Linked DNA regions of Mus musculus. The protein of the gene in region 4 interacts with the protein of the main gene of each other region in a biochemical or structural test. Links are inferred from orthologs where the notes say so. Each region holds a gene or a part of one and is shown on either strand. Other genes may lie near its edges.

Evidence for each region. The genes of interacting proteins can lie anywhere in the genome.
Region 1: the proteins of Crebbp (region 4) and Hoxb6 form a complex in vitro, tested with the Homo sapiens proteins (2 studies listed by BioGRID). The link is inferred for Mus musculus from reciprocal best matches to the Homo sapiens genes CREBBP and HOXB6.
Region 2: the proteins of Crebbp (region 4) and Foxo4 form a complex in vitro, tested with the Homo sapiens proteins (2 studies listed by BioGRID). The link is inferred for Mus musculus from reciprocal best matches to the Homo sapiens genes CREBBP and FOXO4.
Region 3: the proteins of Crebbp (region 4) and Myod1 form a complex in vitro, tested with the Homo sapiens proteins (4 studies listed by BioGRID, with this or other methods). The link is inferred for Mus musculus from reciprocal best matches to the Homo sapiens genes CREBBP and MYOD1.

Annotation. Positions count from the first base shown.
Region 1 is NC_000077.6:96,297,764-96,301,916, reverse strand, and holds Hoxb6 (homeobox protein Hox-B6), read right to left. Parts: upstream 2,844-4,153; 5' UTR 2,819-2,843; coding exon of another isoform or gene 2,741-2,818; coding exon 2,326-2,740; intron 1,249-2,325; coding exon 989-1,248; 3' UTR 348-988; downstream 1-347. UniProt on the Homo sapiens protein: Sequence-specific transcription factor which is part of a developmental regulatory system that provides cells with specific positional identities on the anterior-posterior axis.
Region 2 is NC_000086.7:101,253,307-101,257,370, reverse strand, and holds the start of Foxo4 (forkhead box protein O4), read right to left. Parts: upstream 2,844-4,064; 5' UTR 2,551-2,843; coding exon 2,098-2,550; intron 1,259-2,097; coding exon of another isoform or gene 1,109-1,258; exon of another isoform or gene 1-1,108. UniProt on the Homo sapiens protein: Transcription factor involved in the regulation of the insulin signaling pathway. Binds to insulin-response elements (IREs) and can activate transcription of IGFBP1.
Region 3 is NC_000073.6:46,375,128-46,379,316, reverse strand, and holds Myod1 (myoblast determination protein 1), read right to left. Parts: upstream 2,844-4,189; 5' UTR 2,645-2,843; coding exon 2,018-2,644; intron 1,578-2,017; coding exon 1,499-1,577; intron 1,174-1,498; coding exon 923-1,173; 3' UTR 225-922; downstream 1-224. UniProt on the Homo sapiens protein: Acts as a transcriptional activator that promotes transcription of muscle-specific target genes and plays a role in muscle differentiation. Together with MYF5 and MYOG, co-occupies muscle-specific gene promoter core region during myogenesis.
Region 4 is NC_000082.6:4,210,559-4,214,800, reverse strand, and holds the start of Crebbp (histone lysine acetyltransferase CREBBP), read left to right. Parts: upstream 1-1,396; 5' UTR 1,397-1,577; coding exon 1,578-1,662; intron 1,663-4,242. UniProt on the Homo sapiens protein: Acetylates histones, giving a specific tag for transcriptional activation. Mediates acetylation of histone H3 at 'Lys-18' and 'Lys-27' (H3K18ac and H3K27ac, respectively).

The sequences.
Region 1 (4,153 bases), on a different chromosome or scaffold from region 4:
CTGGGCAAGGAGGCCTCAAGTGGCATCCCTCCAGAGTCTCACAACCGAGGCAAGCTTAGAGAACAAGAGGGAAAAAGGCTTTCTCCATCTCGTGTCTGAATGGGAGAGGCAATTGTGAATTTAGCATCAGAGAGACACAACCAACGCTGGGGCCTGGGAGGACCGATCCCTGGCCTCTGCTTTTGGCTCCTTGCTTTTATCTCAACTGTAACTTCCGAATTGAGGCTGGAGGCTGGGAAGGCCCTGGGGCAGACCATGGCTCTTGCCTTTGCTGTTCAGGCTCAGGGGTGACAGGGTGGCTGGGGGCTATGGGGGAGATGACAGGGAAAGATTGGATGTGACTGAGCTGCGAGTTTTCACATCTTTATTATTATTATCATCATCATCATAATCATTATTAATAATATTAATATTATTACCGAAGTATTTCACGTCCGGAGCTAAGACAAGACTACAAACACAACACATAGAAAATTAATAAAATAGAACTTTGTTTTCTTCTGAGGCTCCTCTTCTTCCTTCTAGGTAGTATGTGCTCCTTCCAGTGGCTTTGGGGAGGGGGTAGGAGAGACAAGTCTGGGGTCAGGGAGTCTTTCAGGTCCCTGCTGAGGGGACAGCGAATCTACCATTGAACCGTGCACGGGGGACATGGACGAAATGAGACTCGACAAGGACATGAGCATTCTGCTCTGCTTCCAGGAGACATCAAGTGAGTCCGATTCTCAGTTCTCACCAGAGAGCCTGATGAGGCCAAGGTGGGTTCTTCGGGGGAGGGAGGAGGCGCTGGGGGTGCTGGGTGGGCATCCGCCAAGCGCCCAGGAAGAGCTCTGCAGAAGGGGGCATCCAGGCAAGCACTGGGCCCTGCCCGTCGTGCTCTGGACAGCAAGTCCCCAGACTCCCCCGACCGCAGAGCCTTCTGGGGCTTTCGGGTGCCCTAGGTTCCCCCACAGACCTCTCCCTTCGCGTCCCCCCTCCCTTTGCAGCACCTTCACTCGGCTGGCTTTTCCTCCTCCTCCTCCGCACTGAGCTGAGACGCACTGAGCAGTTTGCTCTCCTTTTTCCACTTCATGCGCCGGTTCTGAAACCAAATCTTGATCTGCCGCTCGGTCAGGCACAGGGCGTGCGCGATCTCTATGCGCCGCCGGCGGGTCAGGTAGCGATTATAGTGAAATTCCTTCTCCAGCTCCAGGGTCTGGTAGCGTGTGTAGGTCTGGCGGCCTCGCCGACCGCTGGGCCCAAAAGAGGAACCTGTTACGCAGAGAGGAGAAACTGAGGCCTGGGGTCATCACACCAAGCCCATAGCCCCTCCCCCACTCGGCCCTCAAACGTAAAGCTAGCCTGTCGGGAGTAGTCTTTCCCCCTCCCATTCCCTGGTCCCCGTTTCCTACTCCTCCAGCGCCCCCTCCAGATTCCCTCCTGGACTCCGAGGCCTGTGCTTTCTTTCTGCCTAGACTTTCAGTGGGGGGAGAGGAGGGGCACTTGGACTCTCACCTGAGCTTGGGGGAGGGGCTGGCCAGGTGTGCCTCCTACGAGCTGTATCTTTTCTTTCCCTTCCTTTCCATCCATCCAGCCCTCCCTACCCTACTCGATGATAGATTCTGGCCCTTAATCCCTAATGACGTGGATCGATTCATAGTCCGCATTAACAGCCCCTCACTTTCGTGTCCTGCTAATGGACATCAATTGGGACTTGAAGCCCACAAATAATCCAACCTGAGACCCAGGAGCCAGTTTGTTCTTCTCACTCCCTCCGCCTGTCCTCTCTTCTTCCTTCCTCAGACTATACGACCCTATGGTAGTGTCTCACAGCTCCCTGGTCCCCCTTCCCCAGTTCTCCTCCCCCAGCCCCAGGGAAACACAATCCAGGACCCAAGTAAACTCGCCCTTGCCGGCGTCATGCCACCCCTCCCCTTTCATGACGCACTCTTGTTTTTAATGGAGTGGTCTTTGGGTGCGGGGCACCCCCCACCCCTCAGATCCGGACAAGAGCTAGGGAGAACATAAAGGAATACAGGACCAGAGACTGAGTCCCCTAACCTCTTCCGGATCAACAATCCTAGCCTGACTTAAGTAGGGAGAGCCCACTTATTCCCCCTGCCTTACTGTGCAGCTGGGACTTTGCAAACTTTGCAACTTCTGCGGGCAAGAGGACTGATCTGGAGGTCGGGGGGGGGGGCAATCTTGCTCTATCTGCTGAGATGCCCACCTAGTTCCCAATGGGAGAATTGGGGTTGGGGGATGCTGACACTTTCAGTCTTTCTGCTTGCCGACCCCCCCCCACACACACACACACACAGACACGGGACAGCGGGAAGTCTCACTCACTGTTGCACGAATTCATGCGCTGCATCCACGGGTAGACGGGCGTGGAGCACTTCTGCTCCTCGGTCTCTCCGAACACGCTCTTGTCCTGTGCGCAGTCGGACTTGCGCGGCTCGGGGTGGAACGGGGGCGGCTCGTCGGCGCCGGAGAGAGCGCAGGCCGCGTCCTTCTCCCGGTAGAAGGCAGGCGCCGGCCCATAATCACAGGGCGCCGCCCGGCCGTAGCCGCCGCCGGCTGGTGGGTAATAGGAGGACGCCGCAAAGCCCTTGTCCTGGCCGGGTCCCGGCCCATAAGGCGCGGGGTAGTGCCGCAGCGGGTCCGCATAGCCAGACGAGTAGAGCGGCAGCTGGCCCAGGAAGGACTCCTGCCCGCTGGCCAGAGTGACGGGGAAGGTGGAGTTCACGAAATAGGAACTCATCGGGAGGGGAGGCGCGCGAGGCCGCTGCTGCTCCGCCGGGTTTATGATTTGTTGTGTTTTATAGTCCGAGCGCCGCGCCTATTAGTAGTATAGCCGAGATTGGGTTTTAGCTGAGGGGGGATGGCGAGGTGCCAGTGAGGGCCAGAAGGAAATACAACCATCTGATCCAACACTGACCAATGGCAGAGGCAGGAATTGTCAAATAGCACCCAGGAGGAGCGCAGCCTGCACGAGGGACCCGCGCACAAACCTATCAACCTTTTCCCCCTCCTTCCTCTCTCTCTCTCTCTCTCTCTCTCTCTCTCTCTCTCTCTCTCTCTCTCTCTCTCTCTCCACAACGCGCCCTGATCCACCTACGTATGATCTGCGAAAGAGACGTCTGTGCTTTTGAGGGAGGAGGAAGCAGTTAGATGAAGATCATCCCATTCCCCAGTGATGAAATAAATACAACCTCCCCCCCCACCCCACCCCACGCAGGAATAGGGAAAAGTTAATTGTGTTTTCAGAAAAGTTAACCCCTGCGTTGCATGGGCCCGTTCCCTCAAGGGAGGGCTGGGTAAATATCCTCGAATCTCGTTGAGAGAGAATAAAGGGGGAAGGTCTGTTTCTAGGGTTTTGTACTGGTGTGGTGGTGGTGGGGGGTGGAACGAGAACGGACTTGTCCGCTTATTTGCTTCATTTTAGAAACAAGAAAAGAAGAAACACCCTCCTTTGAAGGTTTGGAAAATCGTTTATTGTTTATCAGGCCTGTTTCCCCCTTTTAAGTTTAGGTTTTATTGTATCCCGACTTCAACCCAATTCCCCAGCTTAGAGGAGGGCAAGCCAGTTCCTTCTGCCTAGAAGACCCAAAAGAAGGAAATGTCAGGGGTGTGTGAGCCCAGTTTCTCCCTCTGGCTGCTCCCCGAAGCTATTTGCTATTGCTATTTGGCAAGCCGACCATCCGTATGCCCAGCACAGCTCAGCCGTCCTGGCTGCAGTCTTGACTGAGACTGGGCCCTGGAGAAAGAAACTAGTAGTCCTTAAACTTGGTGATGAAGGGGAAACCCCAGCCTAGGTAACTTTACTTGTTTTCATCTCTATTCTTCCTGCAACCCTTGCTTGGTCTCTCCTCATCTATCCTTATCTCTCAGGCCAAATGATGTAGCAAGAATCCCTGGCTACAGATTTTTAGAACCAAAGATGTTCCCTGTAAATCTAGATACTGGGGGGAATTGTCTTAGAAATGTTGAGTCTTCAGTATTGGAGACCGAGAGTCTCCTCTTTTTCCTACTCTCTTTATAAACTGGTGGTTCCCTTTGAAATTCGCATCCCAAGACTTGGTTTGGATTTGATTTTATAAGGAGAGAAGGCTGCTAGGTCCTCCTAGGGACTTAGTAACCACCTTCCAACCATCAAACTGGCATGCTTGCTCTA
Region 2 (4,064 bases), on a different chromosome or scaffold from region 4:
CTTGAGACAGCGGGAAACCACTTCTAGCTCACTGGTTAAAAAAAAAAAAAAGGTGACCCTTTTCTTGAAGAGCATGGCTTGAGCAGCCTCTTGTGCCAGTTCCTTTAGCAAGACTTCCTTGACTCTGTGCAGATCCAATCACCCCTGGCTCTTAGTAACGGAGCACAGTTGTGTCTTCTAGCTCTGTGATTTCCTCCCTTCTTTTTCTCTAATTCTGGGTCTAGTGAAGTAAATGTGGTGTGTGTGTGTAGGGGTGAGGTGGGGTGGGGGTCTCTGTGTGCGCATGTGCGAACACGCGCACTCGCGAGTGTGAGCACATGCACACGGCGGCTGCAGCGGGTCAAGCTCAGAGACATATTTTGTGAAAGGAATTCACTACTGAGCTACACTTCCACCTATGACCCCTCTCCAGGAGGCCTCGGTACAAGCAAGTGGCAGAGGTCAGTTTCCAGGTGCGCAGGTGCGCGCGCGCGCGCGCGCACATGTATGTGTGCAGATAAACTGTTCACAAAGTCACCTAACTTAAGCTTTCTTGTTCAAGTGAGTGCCGCCCCCTGGTGGGGTGGGAGTGACCCTGGCACAACACCAGGGAAGTATTAAGCTTCCTGCGTGGGGAGGGGGGACACTCTGGGAGCTTGTGGCCCCCTTTTGACTAGGTTTGGCAATGAAAGCAAACCACGCTTTCCTCAGAGAAGCAGGGTCTGTAGCAAAGCTTGTCCTCAAGTCCTCATCTTGAGGGTAGACTCATTACCTAACCTCCCTGGGCCTTCATTTCCTCAGATGCAAAATGTGGACTCCGAACTGCCAAGGCGGACTAACTAAATGAAAAAAAAATTCTTAGATTTCACCGGTTATGGATTTAGCTTAGTGGCAACCATGCGGCCCTGGGTTCAGTTCCTAGAATCAAAAGGGGAGGAAAAAAAAAAAGACTTCATAAACTCTAAAGGCCGTGTTACGTGTAAGTCATAAGAAGGGACTACTCCCAGTGTAACAAGCACTCGTGGTCATTCTACCCTGGAAAATCAACTTAAGGGAAAAGAAAAACAGCTGTGCAGGCTGCGTCCAAGGAGGGAAGCTCTTTGTGAGCTTCAGATTGTGGCATGGCAGTCTACCCAGAAATAGCGCCAAGGGTCTCGGTCAGCTGTCCCATCTTCTGTTCAGTCTGGCCCCTCCGCACATTGTAGATCTGCTCCCTCACTCTAACGTCTACGTGAAGGTCCATTCTGTCCGCTGTACTTGGTACACTAACACAAACCACCTACAGAGAGAGATACAAGGCATGGATACGGGCTGAACCCTCCTTAGTTTTGTGATTAGAGTCCGTATTTCTCTGGCGAAGTTTTCAGAGTTACCGTTTGAGATCTTCCCAGTTTCTTCAAGAAAGACCAAGGACCAACTTGGACTCGAAAGTCAAAGCTATATGATACCTCCTTTCTCCATGAGTAGTATTCCTGAACAAAGACTTTCCCCGTGAGTTTGGAGAGCGCCTTACAAGGAAGGATTTTCGTCAGGAGAAGGTAAACTGAGGCAGATAGCAGCTTGCGGGCCTCTTTCCTTAGTGCACAAGGTCGCTACCTTTCCCCATGGATACCAACCACTTTGCCCCCCTTCACCGCCCACTCCCTCTTGGGCAGAGCAATCGTAGAACAGTTCTGTTCACTGAGGTATTGGGAGGCGAGCAGGGAATCCGAGTAATCCCGCAGGAATGGGCCAAAAGGTGTTGGGTGGGAGGGGAGGGAGGAGGGAAGGCTAGGTGCCGGTGGAGAATCCACACAGTTCCTGCTGTACATAGGATAAAGACTTCTCTGTGGGAATAAATGTTTGGAGCAGCTCAAGCCAAAGTGCTGAGTAGCGAGTAGAGAATTCGATTTTCCTCAGAGCAGGGACAGTGTCTTATTCATCTCCGATCCTCCTGCTTCAAGCTGCTCAGAGTGTGGTATATACTATGTACTAAGTAAATGCCTGTCTAACTGAAGATTAAAGGTGGATCTTTGGGCTTTCCAAAGGGGTGGAAAGGCGGTAATGGGGGGCCCCGGAGTGAGAGTAACTAGAGGGGTCCAAGGGTGGATGGCGTGAAGGTAAGGGAGTCATACTTACCTTCCATCCTGCCGAGCTGTTGCTGTCACCCTTGTCCTTGAAGTAGGGCACCGTGCGGACCATCCATTCGTAGATCTGGGCGAGTGTCAGCCGCTTCTCCGGGGCGCTTTCAATGGCCTGGCTGATGAGTTCTGCATATGACTGATTTCCCCAGGCATTCCGGCGGGAGCCTCCCTTCCGAGGACCTGTTACAGCCCCCAGGATTCCCGGCTGGGGGCCCCCTGCCGGCTCTGGGAGCCGAGAGGGCAACAGGATCGGTTCGGAGTGTCCCTCCGTGGGTACCTTCTGTCCCAGACTGGGCTCCACCTCGGACGGTTCGTGTGGCTCCGTAGCGAGGTCTGGTCGAGGAAGGGGCCAGGTGCAGGATCGCGGACGGCTCTGGGGTTCGAAGTCGGGATCGAGGTCTAGGATCGCGGCAGCCCCTGTGGCTGACTTCTTATTCTCTGGATCCATACGTGGGGTCGAACCTCTGCAGCTCAGCGATCAGTGGAGCCTGCCACAGTCCCTCACCATGCCTCCCCCAAGGGGGGAAACACATTCTTTCCAGTTCTCAGAAAGTCACGAACTTCTCCCTCGTCTCCGGACTCTAGCTCCTAAACTGTCCCTTTCACTCCGTTCTCCGATCCCCTCCGGAGTCCGGGCTGCAGCCTCAGAGTAGCGCTCTGAGGCACCACCTGTAACCTCCGCCTAGCGAAGGCACTTTCTGCACCCTCTCACTCAGCTTCCTGCTCTTTTAAACCTGAGGCACCGTATCCCCTCATACATTGCGCTCCCATCACCGAACGTCTCCTCAGCGAAGTTCCCTCCCCCTTTCAAGTTGCTGCCCCCCGGACACTCCTCCCAAATTTCCTCCACCCGGATCGCTGCCCTCCCCCACGCCCCGCTCCCGGGCGTCACTTGTCCCTCCCCTGGCTCTCCCTCCCCTCGCCTCTTCCCTCCAGGTCACTCTTGAGAGGGTCAAGGTTCTTGCGGCCCCAGCCTCCCCAACTCCAGAACTGAATCCCCTATCGGACCCCCCCACCCCCCGCCCCCCGGGTTTCCCTTTTGTTTTGCTCCAAGCAGCAGCCCCCGCCAGACGTCTCTGTTTACCACTCGCTGGGGCAGCCATCTGCGCACGCGCCTCAGGAGCCACTTGGGAAACTGAGTTCTCGAATCGTGCCACCCTGGTCGTTCTCGAAGACTACATCTCCCGTCCTACCTTGCGATCAGGAGTCCGATATCGGCCGCAGGAGAGCGGCGCGTGGCAGGATGTGGGGAGGTGGAACTTTAATGATTAGAGGTCGTCCCGGACTCTTTTTCTTTTCTTAAAAATATTTTTCCTCATTCCTTCCCTTTTCACCCACTTCCTCGAGTTTCGGGGTCGCCCAAAAGATCGTTTTGAAAGACGCTAGATTTTCCCATCCTTCACTAAGAAAGCAAAGTGAAAATGTATTGCCCTTATAAGAAGCAGAAAGAGTATCAACAAGTAGGGATCTGATTAGAAAATAAGACACACTCACTTGGGGAGTTGAGAGGGAAGCTTGTGTAACAACAAACAGTGTTCATTGGTTATGGTGCACTCTCTCCATTTTCTATGTACATTTCACAGACAGTCTTGCTAGTTTCCTCTGTCAGCTATGCAGGCCTCTGAAATACTGATCTTCTCCTTGTTCTGATCTTCAATGGCTTCTCATTCAACATGTCTCCAACTGAACTTTTTTTTTTTTTAATCTCTTTCTGCACCTATACCTCCACCCTCTAGCTACCTTTAACCTCTGTTATTTTGTCTTTTTTCTGGAGCTGAGGACCGACTCCAGGGCCTTAGCCCTTGTTAGGCAAGTGCTATACCACTGAGCTAAATCCCCGATCCCTACTCTTAAGCTCTGAATTTGGTTAGAGGCTGTTCTGGGTCTACCTAACCTTCTCAGCCACACTGATGGTCACCTTTCCACTTCTGTAACTTGCTACTTCCAAATTCTAAATGGAGA
Region 3 (4,189 bases), on a different chromosome or scaffold from region 4:
CCTACGTGCATCTTTCCACCGGAGCCACTGGTTTTCTTGGGTGCGGCAGGCAAGGCCTGGGGAATTCCCTACAGCTGGAGGTCTGCCAGCCCTTCTTCATTACCCAGCACTACCCAGCCTCCGTGCTACCCTTCTGCCACCTACAGGGGTCGCTGCGAGACAGCCCGCCCAGTTCGTAGAGTTTCTTTCTGATCCCCTTAGGAAAAGCCAGAGCCACTTTGTATAAATTAGCGTCTTTATTTCCAACACCTGAGCGAGCGAGCCTCGAGGCTCGCCCGCTTGAGGAATAAACATACAAAGTTTTTGTTGCACTACACAGCATGCCTGGGAGATAAATATAGCCCAAGGGGCTCCCGCTCTGGCCAAGCAACTCTTATTTACACGAATAGATTACAAAAGTCTTATATAAAAAAATAAGTGGTCCTGAACCGCGGGAAGGGGGAGAGTGGGGTATGGTTACACCTGTTACACCTGAGACCTGAGTGGCCTCCGCAAGCTGTGGGGAAAAGTGGGTGCCAGGAGGGCTCCAGAAAGTGACAAACAAAAGGATGTGGAGGGCAGGGCTTAGGTGTGCAAGGCTCACCCCTGTGCTATGAGGAAAGGAAGAGCGCCTGGCCACTCAAGGATCAGCTCTGGCCCAGTGAGGTGCAGCCAGAGTGCAAGTGGCCTTCGCTGTGAGCCGCATGAAAAAACAAACAAACAACTGAAGGACTACAACAACAACAACAAAAAGGACTATGTCCTTTCTTTGGGGCTGGATCTAGGACAGACTTCTGCTCTTCCCTTCCCTCTGGAAGAACGGCTTCGAAAGGACAGTTGGGAAGAGTGTCATTTAAGCTTCATCTTTTGGGCGTGAAGAACCAGGGACACCATCCCCAGGAGTGCCTACGGTGGTGCGCCCTCTGCTGCTGCAGTCGATCTCTCAAAGCACCTGATAAATCGCATTGGGGTTTGAGCCTGCAGGACACTGAGGGGCGGCGTCGGGAGACGGGGTCTGGGTTCCCTGTTCTGTGTCGCTTAGGGATGCCCCCTCTGGCGGACCCGGAGGCGACTCTGGTGGTGCATCTGCCAAAAGCAGCGCAGGCGCAGCGGGGCTGTCTGTGGAGATGCGCTCCACTATGCTGGACAGGCAGTCGAGGCTCGACACAGCCGCACTCTTCCCTGGCCTGGACTCTGTGAGGGGAGTGGAAGGTTAGTAATCCAAACTTGCGGCCCTTCTCAAGTCTCCTGCCCATAGGCACGGAGCTTTGTAGCAAAAGGGAAACTGAGGACTTGCTAGACTGGAAGGAGAAAGGAGAGGAAGGTGTGCATCATAGTTCTTTGTCCCCTCCCCCAATGCTCCCCCCCCAGCCTCCCCCCCCCCCGCCATCCCAAGGTACGGGTATGTATGTGGTGGAGGCAGGAAGAGGATACTAAGCCTAGGGAGCGAGGAAAGTTTCAAGGGGGATACAGAAGGCCGATAAAGGCCTGCTAGCTGGGAACAGCTGAGAATACGCACCGCGCGCCGCCTCACTGTAGTAGGCGGTGTCGTAGCCATTCTGCCGCCGGGGGCCGCTTGGGGGGCCGCTGTAATCCATCTGCGAATAGCAAGGATAACAGAGTTAGGTCTACAGGGCCCGAGTGGGTCTCAAGCAACACTCCTTGTCATCACCCCTCCCTCACTCCCTTAGTCTCAGCTGCTGGTTCCAGGACTGGGTCAGCCCCAGGTGGTAGGAGCCAGCCACACACTGGAAGCTGTCGCATGCGGGGCCAAACTGAGAGTGGACAGTCACTCAGGAACAATAATCTGCATTAGGGTAATAATGAGAAGGAAAAGCATATCCCGGGGTCTGCGCAGCAGTGTTCCACCCCCAATCGGCAGAATCATAGATGCCCTGGGTCTCCAAAGCGACTCCAGTGTCAGATGCCAGGAGCATCTAGGTATAAGGGACACCCCCACCCCAAGGGCCTCGGAAACCTGTTGCAGATACCCCAGGCGCCGCCTCCATTGCTCATCCTCCTGAGCCCCCCGCCTTACCATGCCATCAGAGCAGTTGGAGCGCGGGCTGGATGCATCTGAGTCGCCACTGTAGTGCTCGCTGCCACGGCCTGGGGGCAGCGGTCCAGGTGCGTAGAAGGCAGCGGCGCCAGGGGGCGCGGCGTCCTGGTCGCGCAGCAGAGCCTGCAGACCTTCGATGTAGCGGATGGCGTTGCGCAGGATCTCCACCTTGGGTAGCCGCTGGTTCGGGTTGCTGGACGTGCAGCGCTTGAGCGTCTCGAAGGCCTCATTCACTTTGCTCAGGCGGCGGCGCTCGCGCATGGTGGCGGCCTTGCGGCGATCAGCGTTGGTGGTCTTGCGCTTGCACGCCTTGCAGGCCCACAGCAAGCAGCGACCCGCCTGGTGGTGCCCGCTGGGCGCGCGCACATGCTCATCCTCACGAGCGCCTGGGCCTGGGTGCACCGCAGTAGGGAAGTGTGCGTGCTCCTCCGGTTTCAGGAGGGCTCCCATGTGCACCAGGCGCGGGTCCAGGTCCTCAAAAAAGCGCAGGTCTGGTGAGTCGAAACACGGGTCATCATAGAAGTCGTCTGCTGTCTCAAAGGAGCAGAGAGAGCCGTCGGGGCCTGTCAAGTCTATGTCCCGGAGTGGCGGCGATAGAAGCTCCATATCCCAGTTCCTGGGTCCAGCCTCAACCCAAGCCGTGAGAGTCGTCTTAACTTTCTGCCACTCCGGAACCCCAACAGTACAATGACAAAGGTTCTGTGGGTTGGAATGCACACCGGCTGTCCTCTACCCCTCCTCCCTGTCCTGTCCTGTCAGAGGAGTGGTGAAGAAAGCAGTCGTGTCCTGGGGCGTCCTGGCCCCTAGCTTCGCGCCAGGCGCCCTGGGCTATTTATCCAGGGTAGCCTAAAAGCCCGGGAGCTGGAAAGGGAGGCTGGGGGCGGGGGCGCCTCAAGCCAATAGGAGTGTAGTAGGGCGGAGCTTGGGGTCCCCAGGGTAGCCACTGGGGCCAGGGAGTGCCCCCTCCCGCGACTCTGTGCTGGGGCAGCTGCCTAGCTAGGAAGGAGGGCAGAGAGACTGGCAGCCATACGCGGTAGCACTTGGCTATCTGGTGCAGCCTGCCCAAGCCTCTCCAGTGTCTACTCCTCCAGCCTGTACTGACCTCAGTGCTCACTTCGGAGCTGACCTCGGACTCCACTCTGGAGACCAGGCAAAGCATAGGAGTTAGAAATCAGATTGCAGGAGGTTTGGAGAGAGACTCAAGGCTACGGGACAATGAAAGTTCTAGAGAAGAGTGGAGAAATGATGACACACCCAGAGAAGTTGAGCCAAGGACAAAGTGGGCAAGAGACAGTGAGACTCAGAAGGTCTAGGTGAGCAAGCCTGGCACAAATGAATCGGTGGCAGTGCTATTTGGTCATTCTCCATCTGGGAATGGCTCAGAGAATATCTGTTCTTCCACGGGAAGCTTAGAACCCCAGCGCTGTCCTTGCATGCGTAGTGGGAATCATCATTAAAACTTCAAGCCATTCTGCTCAAACTCCGGGTGGACAGTCCAAGGAAAAGAGGGAGGGAGAGAGAGGGAGGCTCCCTCCAACTTACTTTCTGTGAGTGTCTAGAGACCCATGGGGGTCTAGGTTGATCTGTTTCTACCGAGAAGAAGAAAACCTGTTTGCTATGGGTTTGTGCCATCTTGCTCTGAGTGAACCCTGGGAAATGCCTTTCTTAAGGATCGTGATGGCTGGAACCTGGCCTGACAACCTCACCTACTGTAGAGTTGGTAGAGTCGGCATAACTTTGTTGAGATGACCTCTTCCCAAGTCTGTATCCACTTCATATCCAGGAACAATGACAATGTCCAGGGGGTAACTGTGGTGATGGGTGAGAATCCAAACCAGGGATGGATGTGGAAATGTCAGTGGAGGTGGGAGACTTGCTTCTGTTTCCAGCACCTGCCTGCCCGCTTGCATAGCATAACCAGCAACCTTCTCTGGCTTTGCCTGCAGCACTGAGATCTGGCAGAGGGCTCTGGGGGCTCTGGCTCTGTTCTTCTGGAGACTTCAGCTGGGTCTCTTCCAGCAGGCTAACTGGGGAGGTAAGATCAAAAGGAAGGAGCCACCTTGTGGGATCTCTGGCTCTCCTACACATCCCAACACACCCCAACCCTGGGATGTTCATGCTTTTGGGGGGCTCTGGCTAGAAGCCTTCCTT
Region 4 (4,242 bases):
TCGAAGCCCTTGGTCTTGGTACCTGGGCCCATCTCAGATCCAGGAGGTAGAGCTGACAGCCTCTCCCTTCAGGTGACAGCGTTGGACATTGGACCTGGCCCTATCGTTTTTGGGCTTGGGAGTGGGCGCTCAAGAGCCTTGCGGTGCCCTTGCAAACTTGGGAAGCACAAGGAAGGGGTGGACTCTCGGCCTGTCATTTTCTCCCTCAGTGATCTTAGAGAAAGTTGCTTTGCCCCTTCCTGCCTCAGTTTCCCCATCTGCACACAGACCCGAGGACCCTCTGTAACCTGCAGGCGCCACTTCGCCATTACTAGCATAGGGCGCGGGGAAGAGGCGCAGGTTGCGGTGGCGTCTTCTTAGTCCGATGTCACCCTGGAGGCTCGCAAGCAAGGAGCTGCGAAGAGCCAGAGCTGCCGGGGCGGGGCGGGACCGGACGGGCTGGGCCCGGATCAGCGCTGACTCCGAGCCTGGCGGGGGGGGGGGTCTAGGCTCGAGCCCAGGGCGCCCTCCCCGCGCGTGCCGCGTTACTGACAGCGTCAGAACAAAAGTGGCCGTCTGCTCTGCGCACTTGGCGTCCCGCAGGCCGGGCCTAGCACCGCAGCCCGTCGCCTCACGCATCGCCGCCGTGCCTTCGACCCTTCCACCCGAGCGCGCTCGGCTCTTTCCGCCGCGGCCGGCGCAGGTGGAGGGGCGGGGCGGGGGCCGTGCGTGGTGACGCCGCGGGGGGGGTGACGTACAAGCGTGCCCCGCCCCCTCCCCCTCCCCGTTCAGGCTCTGGAAAGAGAAGAAAAAAAACTTTCTTTTTTTTTTTAATTGAGGAATCAACAGCCGCCATCTTGTCGCGGATCCGACCGGGGCTTCGAGCGCGATCTACTCGGCCCCGCCGGTCCCGGGCCCCACAACCGCCCGCGCACCCCGCTCCGCCTGGCCGGCCCGCTCCGCCCGGCCCTCGGCGCCCGCCCCGGCGGCCCCGCTCGCCTCTCGTCTCGGCCTCCCGGAGCCCGGCGGCGGCGGCGGCGGCGGCGGCGGCACGGGGTGGGGGGGCCGCGGCGCGGCGGCGGCCCCGCTCGGCGCATTGTTTTTCCTCACGGCGGCGGCGGGCCGCGGGCGGGCGGCGGAGCCCAAAGCCCCCCGGTCGTCCGGCCGCGGGCGAATTCATTAAGTGGGGCGCGCGGGGGGGGGGGGTGGCGGCGAGGCGGCGGCGGTACCACCATGTTCCCGGGCGCCGCCTGAGCCGCGGGGCCGGGCGCCGTCGCTGCCAGCCGGGCCCGCGGAGGCGGCCGGGCCGCTTGGGTGCCCGGGCCGCGGAGTGTCGCGCTCGGGAGGCGGGCAGGGGATGAGGGGGCCGCGGCCGGCGGCGGCGGCGGCCGGGGGCGGGCGGTGAGCGCTGCGGGGCGCTGTTGCTGAGGCTGAGATTTGGCCGCCGCCTCCCCCACCCGGCCTGCGCCCTCCGCGGCCCGGCCCGCGCTCCTGCGCTCGCTCCTCGCTGGCTCGCCTGCTCGCAGCCGCCGGCCCGACCCCCGTCCGGGCCGCGTCGCGCCGCCCGCGCTCAGGGCTGTTTCCGCGAGCAGGTGAAGATGGCCGAGAACTTGCTGGACGGACCGCCCAACCCCAAACGAGCCAAACTCAGCTCGCCCGGCTTCTCCGCGAATGACAACACAGGTGAGGCTGGGTCTAGGCTCGCTGTCAGAGTTCGGGGCAGGGAGGGGGTTGAGGGTCGCAGTGGCCAGAGACTCTGTCCCGGGCCTTGGGATGCGCTTCCCTGGTCGGGAGGAAAAGTGAAGCGGGGGCGCGGTCTAGTGTCCGCACGCGTGGCCGGCCGGGATGACAGCGGAGGGGACCTTGGAGGTTTGGAGTAAGAGAATGCGACCAGAGGCAATGAGGGCTTTCAGGATCGGACCCCCCACTCTAGGCGGTGCAGTCGCGGACACAGCTGCTGCCTTCTTAGTTGCGACGAGTTGCGACGGAGAAGTTTCTTGGAATGTGTTGCTTGGGAAAACGCTTAGTGGTTATTTAGAAAGTCTTGATTTTTTTTTTTTTTTGATCACCTAGTATTTTTTTTTCTCCAAAACCCCAAACCTCATGTGCGAGTTGTCATCAAAGTTGCTGTGGTGTCTTTCATTTACATACGTAACCTTAAAAAGAAGCTAGCAGGCTTTTAAAAGTCCATTTGGGCTCCAGTCTGCCTTTGAGGTTGGAATGGTTTTACACTGGAGATGAAAAATTAAAAAATTAAGGACTTTGAATCTTTCAGGGAAAGAGAAAAGCAAGATAATCTTAAATCTTTTCCCCAACTCACAAAATAGCTTCCGTGCAAACTTTCTTAGGTGATCGGATCGGGTACCCAAGACTTCCCTGTTCATTCAGTAATTCAGAGTACTTCTGGACAGCTCTGATAACCTTGCCAATTATTCGTATTTCCCCTTTTAAGCTCTCCTTCGAAATATAAACTCGTATGCTGCTGTGAACAATGCCGGCTCAGCGCAGCTAGCACTTTTCCAGTACGTACTTGTAGCGGCATCTGAAAATCAGTTTCTGATGAATGGGTCCAAATCAAATTACATTGCTGCCTGCAGATTGGCGCTAGATACAGATGTTCAAGTTGTGGAACTCTGTGACTTTATACAAGTGTATTTAAAAATATTTCTGCTTTTGAAACAAAACTTAGATTTCACGGCTTCAGTTTGAAGTGCTCCTGAAATCCAGTCATGAAAGGAGAATGTTAATGTAGAAATGAGAGGGGAGTATTCTCCCTCCATCATTTTTCAGGAGATTTTTGTTGACTTAAAATTTGTTGAGTGGTAGAAAGGAGTAAATAAATAATTCACAGGTAGGTAGGGAAAAGTCACTTTTCTTTTTAAATGACAAGTTGTTTGATGTTTATTTTCATAAAAATCTTATTGATGAAAAATGTTGAAACAGTGGTTTAAGCACACTTGTGCAAAGTAGAGCTAGCTCCCTTGCTTTAGTAATGTTGCTGTGCTCGAGCCAGAAGACTGTAATCATGTGAGATGTAGATCATACCAGGCAGGTGTTGTCCTCAAGTTTATCCTCTGACACTGCTAACTGGAAGACTTCAGCTTTGCTGTTACTGAGTGAACTTGAAGATTTTTCTTAGAAGTGGGGCAAATTAATAAGACCACAAAAAGACCTGTAGTATCTTATATATCCAGAGGTTTACAAGATGGAACCCAAAAGAAGATGGCTTTTCCCCTCCCTCCTCCTCCTTTTCTTCTTCTTCTTCCTCCTTTTCTCCCTCCTCCTCCTCTTCTTCCTCCTCCTCTTCTTTCCTCTTCCTCTTCCTCCTCCTCCTTTTTCCTTTTTTTTTTTTTTTTTTTGTGTGTGTGTGTAGCTTCTCTGGATTGTCAGATATTTACTTACTGTGTTGCTGACCAGAGCAGACTTATCCAAAAGAATCTTCTGCACGTGAGCACTTTGTCCCTTTCTCTTTCCACTTTTTGCCCAGGAGACGCAGAAGAGTACTTTCACATTTACAGATATGTGAAACAAGGGGTAGTAGTTTCTAATGATTCTGATTTAGATGATCAAAGAATAAGACGGCATTCATATTGAAAGGGTGTAAGGGTCCACTCAGAAGAAGGAGCCATTTTTGAATACATTAAACAAGATGAAACCTTGTTAAGAGTAACTATTAGTCTACGATCCAGTAACAAGATAGACAGATCTTAAAAATTAAACAAATAAATGGCTGAAGTATTTATGTTAAGTATATTTAAAGCAGTGAAGGCTGGGATAGAGACAGAAGGAAAAATTGAACTTTGTTTTCTTTTTTTTGGTTCCCCCCCCCCCCCCCCCCCACACACACACACACAAGGTTTCTTTGTCCCTGGCTGTCCTGGAACTCACTCTGTAGACCAGGCTGGCCTCAAACTCAGAAATCCCCCTGCCTCTGCCTCCTAGGTACTGGATTAAAGTCGTGTGCACCACTGCCCAGCCTGAACTTTGTTTTCTTGAGGGGTCTTATCTCAGGCCTCCAAGAGAACATTGGGCTGGGGTAGGTGAGGTGTGTGTTCTGAGCACAAGATGAAATTTGAGGGAGGGGATGCAAGGAGAGTGAACAGAGAGCCCTAGACAGTGAGAAACAGTTGCTACTTGAACTAGTGATACAAGCCACATCTTTGGGGACTGAGTTGTGAATCCATCAAGTGCATTTTAGCTGTGTTTCTAGGGATAGCAGTGGGTGGAGAAGAGAGTGAGAGGGAAGCCTACCAGCCTACGGAG